2 linked regions of the Arabidopsis thaliana genome follow. The protein of the gene in region 2 binds, or shares a complex with, the protein of the main gene of each other region. Each region holds a gene or a part of one and is shown on either strand. Other genes may lie near its edges.

Region 1 (7,878 bases), on a different chromosome or scaffold from region 2:
CCTGACCTCAGGTTTCTCCTGATGCTGCTCGATGACTCTGTACTCTTGCTTTCTGATTCGCCTTCTTCCCCTGAAAACCTCACAACTTTACTTAACGGTATATAACAATTTCTAAAATGTAGCTTAAGTTGTGTGAGATTTTTGAAATACATATTGAAGTTTTCACATACCGCCACTAGTCTTTTGGTTTAAGGAACGAGGATTGGTCGTACCACATTGTGCAGAATCTGGCTCTTCCTCCGAGTCAGATGGCTCTTCCTCTGAGTCAGATTGCTCTTCCTCGGACTCAGTTTCAATCAAATTATCGCCACTAGTCTTTCGGTTTAAGGAACGAGGATTGGTCGTACCACATTGTGCAGAATCTGGCTCCGAGTCAGATTGCTCTTCCTCGGGCTCAGTTTCAATCAAATTATCGCCACTAGTCTTTTGGTTTAAATAACGAGGAATGGCCGTACCACATTGTGCAGAATCTGGCTCTTCCTCCGAGTCAGATGGCTCTTCCTCTGACTCAGTTTCAACTAAATTATCGCCTGATTCTTCCATTGATGGATCCACAATTTCACTATCTGAAACACCTGAGAATACAAAAAACAGTCCATTTTGAAAAGCTTGCCGTTAACTGGCATTTGACTATCGTAAGTCTGGTACAGTGAACTTTGCTTTAGCCAAGAGTCAAAAAATTACTAACCTTCACCTTCATCATATTCTTCTACAGGTTCTTCTTTCACTTTGCTGAGGACAGCAAGGGATTCCATGGTCTTGGTTTTCTCTCTATGAACCTCGGCATTTCTTGCGGTTTCTTCTTGTTCTTTCTTCTCCATGTGGAACTTGTTGATCTTCTCTTCAAACTCTTCGATACACGCTTTCAGTTCTGGCTTCGCAAACTTCTTTCCCTGTTCAGATTCACAACCAGATGTCAAACTAACATATAGCATTAAAAATGACTAGGGTGACGAAAACCAGAGAAACCAGACCTTATTGATTATGCTTCTAAAGTTCTCGGTCACCAAATCCTCTGCTAAAGCGTGCTCGTAAGACTTGAATGACTCAATAAGCTTTTTGATTCCCTTTTCTGTGAATGTCAGCAGCGAAAGAGAATACGAAATGTATTCCCACTGTTTTCCATCTGCAAGTTTAGGTGTAGATGTCAAAGGGATATACTTCTTATTAAACCCAAAACAGGTGTAAGGATATATCATCAATACAAGCATACCTGTGACTCCGCTAAACCTATTGCAAAGCTTCTCAACTAGAGCCTCCATCTGTTTGTCCTGGAGATTGATGAGGATGCAGATGAGTGATTAGATAAGAATAAATACAGGTCATACTAACTTCAATATTGAAAAGCTGTATACCTTTTTGATGGAGCCGATCAAGAATTGCATGACATTACAGAATGACTCCCTCTCTAAATTCCGGTTGGATAACTGCCCAAGTATATCAGGAAGTAGATTGTATATGGGATTCGATCCTGGATTTGTTTGGCAGAAAATAAACTTAAGTGTTAAATTTGATTCAAAGGTGGAAGTTGCTATGTCATGTAAAGCAGCTATTGCAACTGACCTTTCTTAGACAGTTCATGGAAAAATAGTTTTGCGAGACTAGAGATCCTCTCCACATCATCTTCTATACATATAGCCATTTCATATATATAACCTTTCACCTGAAATCAGGATTCACAAAATGAAACCTCCAACTATAATTGCAGATATTTAAAGAGAGCAAGGAGAGAGGTAAGGAGTCCAACCTTCATCATATCATTCAATATAAGATGTGAGAGGACCAGGACAGCATTTTTCCTGACAGAAACTGAAGCATCCCGTAACCTGGCATACATATTTTCTGTCCAAGGTTCTAAAAGATTTGGAAAACGAACAGCCAAGTCTCCAAGGGAAAGGGTGCAATTCGATCGTACAACTTCAGACGGTGCATTTTCAACAACTGTGAAGAGAAGCTGAAGATTGGATTCGCTGGCATACATTGAGTTTAATGCATCAATTTAACTATAAATTCAGTTTTGTAAAGGATAAATAGACTATATGATAATGATTTAATCTCACCAGAAACTTGCATCAATAATCATAAACCTGCATAATGCAAGCATTGCGGAAGCTTGTAGTTCAGGATGCTGTACGAATGAAAAGACAAGTTTCATTTTATCATGTATATCCAAAATAAATGTGAGAGCAAAAGAAGGCTTTTAACTTCATCACACGCCATGAAACAGAATGAATGAATAGAAAACTAACTACCTTTTGCAGCAGAGAAAAATTTCTGCAAAGCTTAGAGAGAAAAGTTGCACACTCCCCAATCAGATTCTTCTCAACAGAACCCCCAGAAACAATTTCCCTCTCTGCTCTTTCAGCGAGTGTATCAAGCAGTGCATCATCAGAGGCAGCAAGTCCTAGCTCAGCATTTATGCCATTGTTCTACAAAACAAAGAAAACTTTGCATTATTCAGCAAAAATAACCCTTTAGGGTTGTAAAATTTGTGCCACCAGCTGCGCTCTACGAAATTGGTCTGTACCTCTTGGGTGGCCTCAAGGTTTTCTTCTGTGTTCTGACTTTCAGCAGCCGGTTTGTCCTTTTTAGTCTTCTGTCTCCGGATCTTCTGGATACAGGATTCTATATACACCAACTGGTTCATGGCAATGTGACTGACAGCGAACAAAAATCTACTGAGTTTAGCCACTTGAACTGGAGTCAAAATATCAACTTTATTATTTTCGGTATCAGTCTGTGCTTCCTCTTGTTCAACTACGTCAAACACAGTGCTCAGGGACTTTTTAATAATAGTAGAAGCCAATGTTTCTGGAGTTGGGTGGATCATGTATATGGCACTTATGGCTTTATCAGCAGTTGCATAATATATATTTTCTGGAAGCCAGTTCCCAGTGATCAAGCTTTCAAGAATACCAAACAATCGGCTGCCACTGCTGAGCAATAACTTTTTCCTATCTTCCTCGGAGAACCGCTGAATAACAGTACATGCAGTTCTGGCAAGTAGAGGTTCCACTTTTGCCCAACGGCCAAACCCAATATCAATAATATCCTGTATGTGTGATCCAAGAATCCTAGGGGACGACTTTGCAGCCATGCAAAGGATAGATAGAGCCCCACGACTTTGCTCAGCAGTTGTCCCATTGATGTTAAAGCAAAAGAAGTCCCATAGAGCTGATGTCTACAAACAGAAAAATGATAGAAGCACTTATTAGCCTCTAGCAGGTGAAAATCCTTTTCGCTCGAGAAATTTAATCAATAATCAAACGCTCATTATTTTTAGTTGTTCTTGACTGTGCATAAGCAGACTACACGTATCAAGTGACCATAATTCATAGCATACTCATACGCTGGAGTCACAGAAGGAACCTACCGTGCTGCTAGATATTTCACCTTTTGACACTAAAGCATTAACAATAAACTCTAGTGCTGCCTGATCTCCTATATTCGAATCTATGGCAAGGTTCAACAGCTGTTTCGCCGTGTCAACTGGATTTTTCCTTATGTAGATTGAGATGAAGGCATTCTCTACTGCCTCATAGATAGACTTATCCTGAGAAAAGGCCTGCAAAGACAACAATAAACAAGGTTTTTAGCACAATGTATTAAGAGGATGCTAACTGAAAAATGTCAGAAGAATGTATTCTTATGAGTTTGATACATGATAAGCGACCATACCAGAGGCAGAATTTTACGGAGACAAGCTTCTGCACCGTCAATTTGGAACTGCTTACACCTCATCAGCAAAAGAATAGCATTCTCAACATCAGTGGCAGAAGATGAAGCCATTAATTGAACGAGGATTGGCATACTGGCTGACATGCACTTCGAGAACCTCAATCCAGCCTCTAGGGAAGCAATCAAAGCCTTGGTTTGCTCAACGTTACCAATATCTGGAACAGAAACATCCTTCTCACTGATTTCTTCTCCATTCTCTGGCTGACAGCTATCAGATAGACTATCTTGATGAATCTTAGTTGTAGTTTCAAGATGCAAGTCATCGATTTCACCATCTCCATTACAGGATTCACCATCTGAAGTTGACTCTTTTGATGCATGCTCAGTAGGTTCAAGTTCGTTCAGTTTTCTTTTATACTGCTCCAGGGTTGCTTCAAATGAAGCTATCCGCAGCTGTGGACCAAAGGGGTTATGTTGCAACATCATGATCAGTAAATTCAATGCGGATTTTCTAACAATTGCACTCTTATCTTCCAGTCTTCCAGCAGATAGTGATGCAACTTCATTCCATAGGCCAATTGAAACAGAATGCTCTTCACAGAGTTCAGCCCACACTTGAAGAACACGGCTCCTTGTATAGGCTGAAACATCTCTACAGCGTTCGAGCAAAATTTCCAACATAGCTTGCTTAGTTCGCAGACGAAGGGACTTGGAACTCATATCTCCCTCGACATCATTAAATGCTTTTGCAACTAATTTCCCAAGAACACCAACTAGTGCGTTTCTTATCTTGTATGATTCACCACCAAAATGAGGGACCAGAACTCCAACATTTGTCGACATTAATTTTGGCAAACGATCAGCAAGCTCGACCAGGAAACGTCCCACATTATCAGCCCCAGCAGTATCTTTAACGTAGGCCTTTGGGTCAGTCCTCCCAATATCTCTAATGATTGTCACTGCCAACGTACCATCTGAATACTTGCTTTCAGCTCTAGCAACTGCATCAGCAATGTGTACAACAGCAAAATCATACTTGTGTATCAAGTGCATGATTGAGGCACATGACTGCACAATGTAGTGGTATTTTGTAGCAGATGCTCCGATGATTCGGCACAGTGCATCTTTTGTCTCGGCATCTTTTAAGATTGTGGCATTTTCAAAAAGAGTGAACGAGTTTCTACAAGGAAATGATATGAAAATGTTGTGAGAATGTATCTATAGCATGGACTATGAAAGAAACAAGATTCATTAGGTCACGGAAATTACTTGACAATGAAAGACAGGTAGTTTTCGTCTAGGTCTGATGATCCAAAGAGCAAGGATAGGTTGATTTCAAGAGAATTTGCGATCAAATTGAGCATCCTACCCCTCTGAGGTTCCCAGTTCCATGACTGGATGATTTGCTTTTTCCTCCCTCGTGCTGCAACCTGTTCATCCACAACATCACTACCGTAAATTCGACAACAAGAGATGAATTTTATTCTGTATTATCAGCTGGAAAAAGAGAGAACACCTTTGTAGTCTCGACTGAGCTGATGTGTGATTCCTCATTCATAACAACAGTGAGGAGAAAGAAAGTGTATATCTTCAAGGCATTGCGATGTGATGTGATCCTATCAATGATTGGAACATCATCCTCCTGATCTTGGACAGACCGGGATATCGAATCGACATTGGGAAGAAGAACGCTTAGATTGGACCGAAGGCTTTCTACAAGATTACACTTGCAAGATGGAGGAAGACTAAAGAAGCTCCTGACCAAAGAGTAGACACGATCAAATACATCTTGATCCTCGACACAAAAGAGTTCTCTATCAGAAAGGTCAAAGGATACACCTGTTCCACGAGACGAAAGTAAACAAAATGCCTCACATATCAATCACAAGAGTCATAGAAGAAATTTGACTCCAGAAACGCACTAAATGAAATTTCTCTCGACTTAAATTTAATCAATTTCATATTGTTCAGCTTCGCTTGTAGACACGAATTCCCACTAAACCTACCTGACGACTCAGGTGACTAAGGACACTATCAACATACATAATGCAATTTTCCTCCCAAATTGGGATTGCAAAGCAAATCTAAACCCTCTCGCAATTGCATCTCAGATACGCTCATACAGTGGAGAGACAAAGACAATTTACCTTTGACGAATTCTTCCAGATCGGAAGGGCGAAGAGAGGTTACATCGACGGGATTCTGAGCGAACAAACGGTGATTATCCTCCGGATCTTCTTCTAGGGCTCGTAGAATTTGAGGGAATACAAAGGGAGGAGCCATTTTTTCTAGAGAGAGAGAGAGACGTTGCTCAGAGGAGAGAGAGAGAAAGAAGAATCTACCTTTTGGGGAATTTCAATTTCAAAATGAAATCGAAAAAGGCAACGGAGCGGGAATCCATGGATCATCCTATCGGGTCGGGTTCCGGATACAAAACCGGGTCGGATCCTAATTATTTTATCTTCATGTGGGCCCTCGAATTTAATTATGAGTCTCCGTCGGCTGGTGAATAAATACGACGAAGACGTGGCCGAATCTAAATGGTTGGAAGATCCTTGAACCTACCGAATCATCTTTGATTTTTTTTTCCCCAAGCTTTTGGCCACTCTAATGGCTTCGCCGGCCAATCATTTGATCTGACGAAAGAGAGAGAAAGAAGCAGAAAAGCTTTGAGATGGCGATGCCGCTGGGCATGGCGATGTATCTGATGAGAATGGTTTGGTTTTCTCTGAGTGGTTGGGTTTTCACTTGCGTGGCTATCGCTGATGAGATCGCTGGTTCTCTGAGAAACGGAGATATTGGTCCTTTCCACGTCGGATGATTGAATTCGAGATCCTTAGCTCTCCTTCTGTGCGTATATGTTCTTCTCTTCCCCAAATTTTACGTTTTTTTTTGTTTTGCTCTGTTGTTTTAGATTAGAGTCGCTTCAAATTTCCCTACAAACTCTGAAATTGATAATAGTTTGAGTTTATAGAGGATAAAGATAGATCATTTTGGTCGAAAAGGGAACAATTTTTGGTGGAAGTGATTGATATATGTCTCAGTCACTCAGTGTGTGTATGTGTAACTAAAGTTCGGCTTCGTATATGAAACTATACATATCTTATGGATTCGCATGGATGTTGTTATGTTAATGATGCTTGTTAATGGCCCATGAACAAAAATCGAGATTTCTCAACTCCAATTTGGTTGTATTTGTTCTGATCAGCAACTCTGGGATGCATATAATGCTCGTTTCCTTTTGCTCAGCTGCTTGAGTTTATCTCTCATAGTAGCTGGTTTTTGTGTCGATACAAGTATCCTCAGGATCATTCACATGCTCAGATAATTTATCTCCTCTCTACATAAGTACATCAGCATTGATGATATGATCCATATGCTTAAGTGATTGTCTGGAAAACAGTTCATAGGTGATAATACCTTCTTAGCTTCAGTACCAAAACATTCCTGGAAGCATGTTTTATAATCCTGAAGATTACCTTTTGTTTTAGTTTTTCTCCTTAGCTTACTAGTCATTGTTTTGCATTCAGGCCTTTCTGAATTCAGGAAGGGCTTTTACAGCAGTAAATGCGCAGAGTACACAAGTAAGGTTCTATCATATCTTCTGTTGGTACGCTGGCAAGGTTCTTAACTATGAAACATTTTGACAGACAGAGAGAGGTAGAGAGAGAGCAGAGCAGCAGTATATGTGTATAGTATATAGTTTGTAGAATTCCAGAACATATGTGACCTCATACTTGTGAAAAAATGTTGCTGAAACAATTGAGTTTCTATCAATTTCAAGAAATCTTTTTTAGCCTCTTCTGCTTGGAAGATCACACAAGAGAAAATGATTTTTCCCTTTGAATTTACTTTGTATATATTTAGCTCATTGGCGTCAAAGAAATCTATTACATTCAAATATTCAATGAAGAACCAAACATTTTTATCTGTCAAGATCCACCTCTAAAACTATTGAGCTTTCCTCTTATATTAGCTTTTTGTCTTATGCATATCTTCCTTATATCATATTTAGTCTTTGTAGTGTTAGGTTCTGAATTTCGAATCTTTCCTCTTCCCTTATTGAAAAGAGTAAAAGACAAAGAACAAAGTACCAAAAATAATAAAGAATCTTCAAGGAGTTTTTGCCTTGTGCAATTCAACTTCTTCCCATGTTGTTTATGTGTAGTCCAATTAGTGTTATTTTTAATTAAGATGTGG
Region 2 (7,849 bases):
TGTTTTTGACTCGGAAGCTCGTGAACTCTGCGAATCCGGTCACGAGTAAGGTGTATTAATAAAAGCTCTTTTGGATTGGTAGTGATAATGGCTTTACGAATAAATGAGCTTTATTTAGAATTTGATCCAAAAATTTGATATCAGATTTAAGACAGAAGATGGAGAAGACGACAAATTCTTGAGTTTAACGATGTTGAGATTGAACAAAAGAGCAAGAATGGTCAAAAACGGTGGGCCTTGAGGGTAAGTTTGACATTTACGATGGGGATTATCCGGTTTGGCCATTTCCATGCCATTTCAAATATAAACTAATAAAAGTTTACTAAAGCTTATTGTATTAGCAATTAAATATTACTAGTGAATAGTATTTTCATTACTGGCGAGATAAGTTGGTTTGAAAATTTCTTTATTCGACGTATAAATTGGTTTTATCTATGATAACCAGCCCGGTTCGATGAACAGATGAGGCGGATATTGAAGATAACCGTGTGTTTAGTGGGGAAATGACGAATTTGACCTTGAAGCGTGTGAGGTATTACGTCGACAAGAGAATCTTTCGGTGGGATTACAACCGGGTAAAAGATGGCACGTGGGGCCTGGTTACTCCCACGTGAGCCACACCAAACAAATCTTACGTTATTTTGAATGTGTTTTATCACGAAGACAAAAAATGCCAAGAGAATCGAAACAAACAAAAAAAACATAAATAGAAAGCAAAGATCTATTGAAAATTACATCAGAATCATTGTAAAACATTAATAGAAAGCCAAAACCTATTGAAAATTACATCATAATCATTGTAATTTAACATTCACATGATCCCATCATAATCAAAACAAAGTAGGTTCAATGAAAACAACGAAAATTTGTCACCAAAGTTAAGTAGGAGTGAGAAAAATGGTTTCCTCGTTCATTTGATTACAAAGATAACCATAGAAACTTACCATACTCGTAACAAAACCAACTATACCAAAACTAACCAAACCCCTAAACCGCTTCTTCTTCATCTTCTCGGTTCTTCTCATCGCCAACTTCTCTTCTAATGAATTCGCATCTTGATATTCTGCATGTAACGATTCAACCAACGAGCGAACCAAAGTGGTCTCATCTACACCACCACCACTTTCCAAACTCTGCAAGTCCAGTTGGTTGATTGGACCGGTCTTTTCCTTGAAAGCCTCTTCAAGTTCGGTTAACCTCTTAGCCATGAAACGAAGTTTCAACATCTCTTCTTCGTCTTCATCGTCCTTAACCGACGATATCTCCGCACATAAAAGGGTTTGCGTGAAAACAAACCGGGTTCCGAATTCCCGGTATGCGTTAAGATCACCATTGCCAGAACCGAATTCTTGTAGGTAATACTCAAGTTCTTCGAGTTTCTTCCCCAAGATTGTGTTTGCTTTCGCCTTCGTCGTCTTCATCCTTTTCTTAAACAATTATTTCTCCCATTTTCGAAAGGTTTTAAACTCTTAAAAATAACTTCTCGTAGTCGATCGGATGGCGACGGTTAATGTGAAGCTACACGTATCATAAATATAACTGTCCAAGGCCAAGGTTACGTGGCCTATAGAAATTAGATCCTATAGTTTTGCTCCCTCGACGATATCGATATCCGTTGTGTGGATCTGCGCCATGCATGTCGAACATGATATATGTGCATTAACAAACATAGCACCATTCATTAGTCATATTCAAACAAGGAATGAACCATTAATTTGTGGGTGTGAAGCAGAGTGGGATATCGTTGTTAACATATGAAGTATACATGTATAAAATTGTACAGAATGTATTTGATACCATCAAACCTTCTGAATGGTGTGGAAGGTTTCAGAACTGTTCCCAAAGTTCACTTTCCCGCTCCTTGTGTTCCCAAATCGAAATGCCCTTGTTTTCAAAATCCCAAATCGACTCCTAATTATCTTCAACTAAAAAACCAAAATTGACTTCAGATTCGCCTTCTTCTTCTCTTGCAACGTTTCAATTTCATGTGCCTTCGACCTTAGATTCCAATTTTGAATTCGAATTTCTGGGGTTTCGATTGAGCTCTTCTCGCTTTTTTCTAGGGTTTTGTCGCATATGCTGCGAGTGTGAGTGGAAATTTGGGGGAAGAAGAAGAAGGAAGATGCATATAAAGGAGATATGCTTGGAGGGTTTTAAATCATACGCGACGAGGACGGTGGTTTCTGGTTTCGATCCACATTTCAACGCGATAACGGGTCTGAATGGTTCGGGAAAATCCAACATCCTCGATTCCATCTGTTTCGTTCTGGGTATCACCAATCTTCAGCAAGTTCGAGCTGCTAATCTTCAGGAACTCGTCTATAAGCAAGGCCAAGCTGGGATTACTAAGGCGACTGTCTCGGTTACCTTTGACAATTCCGAGAGACACAGAAGCCCTCTCGGCTACGAAGAACATCCAGAGATTACTGTGACTAGACAAGTATGTTCTTTGTTTCTCTTTTGTTGTACTCATCAATTCATGTGCTTGACAAAATTTGAGACTTTAACTTGGAATTGTGTATCTTTTGGTGTTAAAAAGATTGTAGTTGGTGGAAGGAACAAGTATTTGATAAATGGGAAGCTAGCACAACCAAGTCAAGTTCAGAATCTATTTCACTCGGTGCAGCTTAATGTCAACAATCCACACTTTCTCATCATGCAAGGGCGTATCACCAAAGTTTTGAATATGAAGCCTCCGGAGATATTGTCCATGCTTGAAGAAGCTGCTGGAACAAGGATGTATGAAAACAAGAAAGAGGCTGCATTGAAAACGCTTGAAAAAAAGCAGACCAAGGTTGATGAGATTAATAAGCTTCTTGATCATGAAATATTGCCGGCTCTCGAGAAGTTGAGGAAAGAAAAATCACAGTACATGCAGTGGGCTAATGGTAACGCGGAGCTAGATCGACTAAGGAGATTCTGTATTGCCTTTGAATATGTTCAAGCGGAGAAGATTAGAGACAATGCTGTTCTTGGAGTTGGAGAAATGAAGGCGAAGCTCGGGAAGATTGACGCGGAAACAGAAAAGACACAGGAAGAAATACAGGAATTTGAGAAACAGATAAAAGCTCTGACTCAGGCAAAGGAAGCCAGTATGGGGGGAGAAGTAAAAACTCTGTCAGAAAAAGTGGATTCACTGGCTCAAGAAATGACACGTGAGTCATCTAAACTTAATAACAAGGAGGACACCCTTCTGGGAGAAAAAGAGAATGTTGAAAAGGTTAGAGACTGAAGAAAATTATTTCTGTTGCCAGAATGTTATAGATTCTCAGCTATTTCTGGCGTAAATAACTTCCTACTTGGTGTTGACAGATTGTTCACAGTATAGAAGATTTAAAGAAATCCGTAAAGGAGAGAGCCGCTGCTGTGAAGAAGTCTGAGGAAGGAGCGGCAGACCTAAAACAAAGATTCCAGGAACTCTCCACCACATTGGAAGAGTGTGAAAAGGAACACCAGGTAGTACCACTAAAAAAGTATCTCTATTCCATGCCAAATAATATCCATTCGTTTTATGTTAATTGGCTTTATGTCCTTTGATTATTAGGGCGTACTAGCTGGTAAGAGTAGTGGAGATGAAGAGAAATGCTTAGAAGATCAACTACGGGATGCAAAGATTGCTGTTGGAACAGCTGGAACAGAGTTGAAACAGCTAAAAACCAAAATAGAACACTGTGAAAAGGAGCTAAAGGAGAGAAAGTCTCAGTTAATGTCAAAACTTGAAGAAGCCATTGAAGTGGAGAATGAACTTGGAGCTAGGAAAAATGATGTGGAACATGTAAAAAAGGCACTTGAATCTATTCCTTATAACGAGGGTCAAATGGAAGCTTTGGAGAAGGTTAGCATGGTCACTTTAGTTGATTTTGTCTTTTTCTACAGAAAGTATACTTCTCTGACTGAAATATATATTTAGGACCGTGGAGCCGAACTTGAAGTTGTGCAGAGGCTGGAAGATAAAGTGCGTGGCTTATCAGCTCAATTAGCAAATTTTCAGTTTACATACAGCGATCCTGTGAGGAACTTTGACCGATCTAAGGTGAAAGGTGTGGTCGCAAAACTAATAAAAGTAAAAGATAGGTCCTCAATGACAGCGTTGGAGGTAGACTGGATATCTTATCATTTCACAATAAACACTGTTGGGATTTCAATTGCCTGAAGTCACTTTGCTTCTTGTTTCCAGGTTACTGCTGGTGGCAAGTTGTATGATGTTGTTGTAGACTCAGAAGATACTGGAAAACAGCTCCTTCAAAACGGTGCTCTTAGGAGAAGAGTTACAATTATACCTCTGAACAAAATCCAATCTTACGTTGTTCAGCCTAGAGTGCAGCAAGCGACTGCTAGATTGGTATGTGGATCTTTTGTTTGGTCCATTTAGATTTAATCTCTTTGTTTTCATTTTCATTGCTAATTTTTTATTATATATTTTCAGGTTGGAAAGGATAATGCAGAACTGGCACTTTCCTTAGTCGGTTATAGTGATGAATTAAAGGTACACGCCTGCACAGAGTAACATGAATCTGATATATAATCCTCTATTTTTCAAGTTTTCAAGAATACATAATAAATTTCAAGTTCAAGCTCATATTTGTGTGAATCATGGTATTTTGCAGAATGCCATGGAATATGTTTTTGGCTCCACTTTTGTTTGCAAAACTACTGATGTAGCAAAGGAAGTAAGTATTTCCTAAGCATTTAGTATTATATGTGGGCAGGGCCTTCAGTTTTTCTTTCTTGTGAGATGATGTCAGCTTATATATAAATCTTTACGTGGAATATGTGGTGTGTACATTTTTTTAATTGCCTAAGCTTGTTTTTAGTAACTCTTGACGGATAATCTATTCTAAAGTTTATCACTTTTGTTGGGGTTATAACTTATAAGTGCAACATATACCTTGAGTTTATTCCCACTGTCTTAGCTACTATTTGATAGTTTTGATTTATTGCTTTTGCCTCTAGAGTTCAGTCTTTGATGTGCCCCTCATTGCTTCTTCTGCAGGTTGCTTTTAATCGGGATATTCGGACTCCAAGTGTCACACTTGAAGGTGACATTTTCCAGCCAAGTGGTCTTCTTACTGGTGGGAGTCGCAAGTATGTCTTTCTTTCTTGGACGCTTATATCTCTAGTGAGAGTCATCTCCTTATAAAAGTATTTTGGTCTTTTTTTTTTCCTTTGCCTTAGGGGTGGAGGTGATCGCCTTAGGAAACTTCATGACCTGGCAGAAGCTGAATCAGAATTACAAGGACACCAAAAAAGGTTGGCTGACGTTGAATCACAGGTAAACCCCTATTCTTCCGTGATAAGTCTAAATACAACTTGGAATTGAACAGGTGCTAGCCATATTTTGAAATTACTAAGAAAATGATAAGGCAGTAGCTTAGTAATGGTCTCTGATTGCTCTCTCTAGACTCCTCATGTCACACAGTTATAAAGTACTTTCAGTATTTTAAACGTAAACTGCTGATTTATCTTGACATGACAGATCAAAGAGCTTCAGCCTCTTCAAATGAAATTCACAGATGTTTATGCACAGTTGGAGCTGAAGACGTATGACTTGTCCTTATTTTTGAAGAGGGCTGAACAAAATGAGCATCACAAGGTTATATCTCCATCTTCTATCTATATCTTTCAAGCTAAATTATCTGCGTCGTTGGTTTTTTTGTGGTACTTGAATCACATACATTTATACTTTCCATCACCTGTTGTATACACAGCTTGGCGAAGCTGTAAAAAAACTTGAAGAAGAGCTTGAAGAAGCGAAATCCCAAATCAAAGAGAAGGAACTTGCTTATAAAAATTGTTTTGATGCTGTTTCCAAACTAGAGAATTCCATCAAAGACCATGACAAAAACAGAGAAGGAAGACTTAAGGACTTGGAAAAAAATATTAAAACCATCAAAGCTCAAATGCAGGCAGCTTCCAAAGATTTAAAGGTATTTTATATTTTTTGGTCAGTTACTTCCATGCCATTGAACTTCTTGAATCCATTTTTCTTTTCCTTATCCTGGGTTATCCAGTTTTATCATGGAAGCATTGCCTTCTTTTGAATTTGCTGTAACGTTGTCTCTGGTTCGTCATGCGCATAGAGTCATGAAAATGAAAAAGAGAAGCTTGTGATGGAGGAAGAAGCAATGAAGCAAGAACAATCGTCCTTGGAGAGCCACTTAACTTCATTGGAAACCCAAATCAGCACTCTGACTTCGGAAGTAGACGAGCAGCGAGCCAAGGTGCTGTAGTTTTGCTACTCTTGGTGAAGTTTGTTGAAAATAAAGAAATATATCATGTTAATATATGATTCCCCTGCAGGTTGATGCCTTACAGAAGATTCATGATGAGTCTCTTGCCGAGCTCAAGTTGATACATGCAAAGATGAAGGAATGTGATACACAGATAAGTGGTTTTGTCACTGACCAGGAAAAGTGTCTGCAGAAGCTTAGTGACATGAAGCTTGAGAGAAAGAAATTGGAAAATGAGGTACTTTCTGTTTCTGTTCTATTCCTGTTTCTAGGTTTTGCAAAGCTACAAGCCATGCTTGTTTCTTCCTCACTACCAATCTGATTTATGCTGTTCTTGCACTTCGTATAAAAATCTTTCGTATTCACTAATCTTGCCTATTAAGAGTTTCTGCCTTGGATTTCTTTAAAATTTTGAAAGTTCAGTAATTGCGTTAAAGTTCAAACGTCTCAATGGGTAACATACAGCTGTTGGGGATGGTGAGTGAATTAGTAATTGCATAGAAAATTAAGACTTTCTTGTAACGTGATTTTGATATAAAATTGGAAAAGTTCAGTAGTTTCTGAAATTTCTGCATGTCAAGGAATATACTTTTCGTGACAACTGTCTCTTCCAATTTATTTATAGGTCGTAAGGATGGAAACGGATCACAAGGACTGTTCCGTGAAAGTAGACAAACTTGTTGAGAAGCATACATGGATAGCATCTGAAAAGCAACTTTTTGGGAAAGGAGGGACAGATTATGATTTTGAATCTTGTGATCCGTATGTGGCCAGAGAAAAACTTGAAAAGCTCCAATCAGATCAATCAGGGTATGTGTATGAGAATTAACGTTTTATCTTTATGAAACCTATATTATATTGTCGTCACATCATTGAAGTGAAATATCAATATGACATGCATTCTTCTTCTTTTCCTGGTTATTTATTTCCCTCATGAAGCTTGGAAAAAAGAGTGAACAAGAAGGTTATGGCTATGTTTGAGAAAGCAGAAGATGAATACAATGCTCTGATATCGAAAAAAAATACTATCGAGGTTAGTTACAGAGGACAGAGGGCCTTTGCAATGTATTTCAATAGCTTCGTGTGCCATCATAACACAATTTTTTCGGTTTTTTTCCTAGAATGACAAATCAAAAATCACGAAAGTGATCGAGGAGCTTGATGAGAAGAAAAAAGAAACCCTGAAAGTTACTTGGGTTAAAGTTAACCAGTGAGTGTCTTTCTAATCTCCAACAAAGAGTTTGTCTTTGCTCTTAGGCTCATGATCTCATTCCTCAATGTCTGAAAAGATAATATGATATTAGCCTTTGTTAAATCCTTCTTTTTTATTAGGGATTTCGGATCAATCTTTTCAACTCTACTACCTGGCACCATGGCAAAACTAGAACCTCCTGAAGACGGTAACTTCCTTGATGGTCTTGAGGTGCGTGTTGCCTTTGGAAAAGTCTGGAAGCAGTCTTTATCAGAACTCAGTGGAGGGCAAAGATCTCTTCTTGCGCTATCACTAATATTGGCATTGCTTCTCTTCAAACCGGCTCCTCTTTATATATTAGATGAGGTACATCTCTGCTTTTCAATTTCAGATTTCTCAGTTTCCAATTGATATTTCAAATTATCAT

What was found. Proteins that work in one complex are often made in the same cells at the same time.
Region 1: SMC2 (region 2) and AT3G57060 share a complex: the UniProt entries of both Arabidopsis thaliana proteins name them as parts of the condensin complex.

The regions. Positions count from the first base shown.
Region 1 is NC_003074.8:21,115,091-21,122,968, forward strand, and holds the start of AT3G57060 (binding protein), read right to left. Parts: upstream 6,024-7,878; 5' UTR 5,962-6,023; coding exon 5,826-5,961; intron 5,518-5,825; coding exon 5,195-5,517; intron 5,109-5,194; coding exon 4,948-5,108; intron 4,859-4,947; coding exon 3,679-4,858; intron 3,566-3,678; coding exon 3,374-3,565; intron 3,182-3,373; coding exon 2,528-3,181; intron 2,430-2,527; coding exon 2,253-2,429; intron 2,129-2,252; coding exon 2,061-2,128; intron 1,971-2,060; coding exon 1,748-1,970; intron 1,664-1,747; coding exon 1,564-1,663; intron 1,472-1,563; coding exon 1,356-1,471; intron 1,272-1,355; coding exon 1,214-1,271; intron 1,127-1,213; coding exon 975-1,126; intron 894-974; coding exon 689-893; intron 576-688; coding exon 171-575; intron 86-170; coding exon 1-85. Other genes in the region: AT3G57062 (uncharacterized protein), read left to right, coding at 6,353-6,499. UniProt on the Arabidopsis thaliana protein: Essential protein. Regulatory subunit of the condensin complex, a complex required for conversion of interphase chromatin into mitotic-like condense chromosomes.
Region 2 is NC_003076.8:25,054,186-25,062,034, forward strand, and holds the start of SMC2 (structural maintenance of chromosomes 2), read left to right. Parts: upstream 1-1,839; 5' UTR 1,840-2,122; coding exon 2,123-2,440; intron 2,441-2,539; coding exon 2,540-3,220; intron 3,221-3,312; coding exon 3,313-3,456; intron 3,457-3,544; coding exon 3,545-3,835; intron 3,836-3,910; coding exon 3,911-4,096; intron 4,097-4,177; coding exon 4,178-4,342; intron 4,343-4,426; coding exon 4,427-4,486; intron 4,487-4,607; coding exon 4,608-4,670; intron 4,671-4,993; coding exon 4,994-5,085; intron 5,086-5,175; coding exon 5,176-5,272; intron 5,273-5,476; coding exon 5,477-5,593; intron 5,594-5,708; coding exon 5,709-5,927; intron 5,928-6,080; coding exon 6,081-6,221; intron 6,222-6,300; coding exon 6,301-6,468; intron 6,469-6,855; coding exon 6,856-7,040; intron 7,041-7,169; coding exon 7,170-7,263; intron 7,264-7,351; coding exon 7,352-7,440; intron 7,441-7,562; coding exon 7,563-7,788; intron 7,789-7,849. Other genes in the region: AT5G62400 (uncharacterized protein), read right to left, coding at 429-596, 945-1,421. UniProt on the Arabidopsis thaliana protein: Central component of the condensin complex, a complex required for conversion of interphase chromatin into mitotic-like condense chromosomes.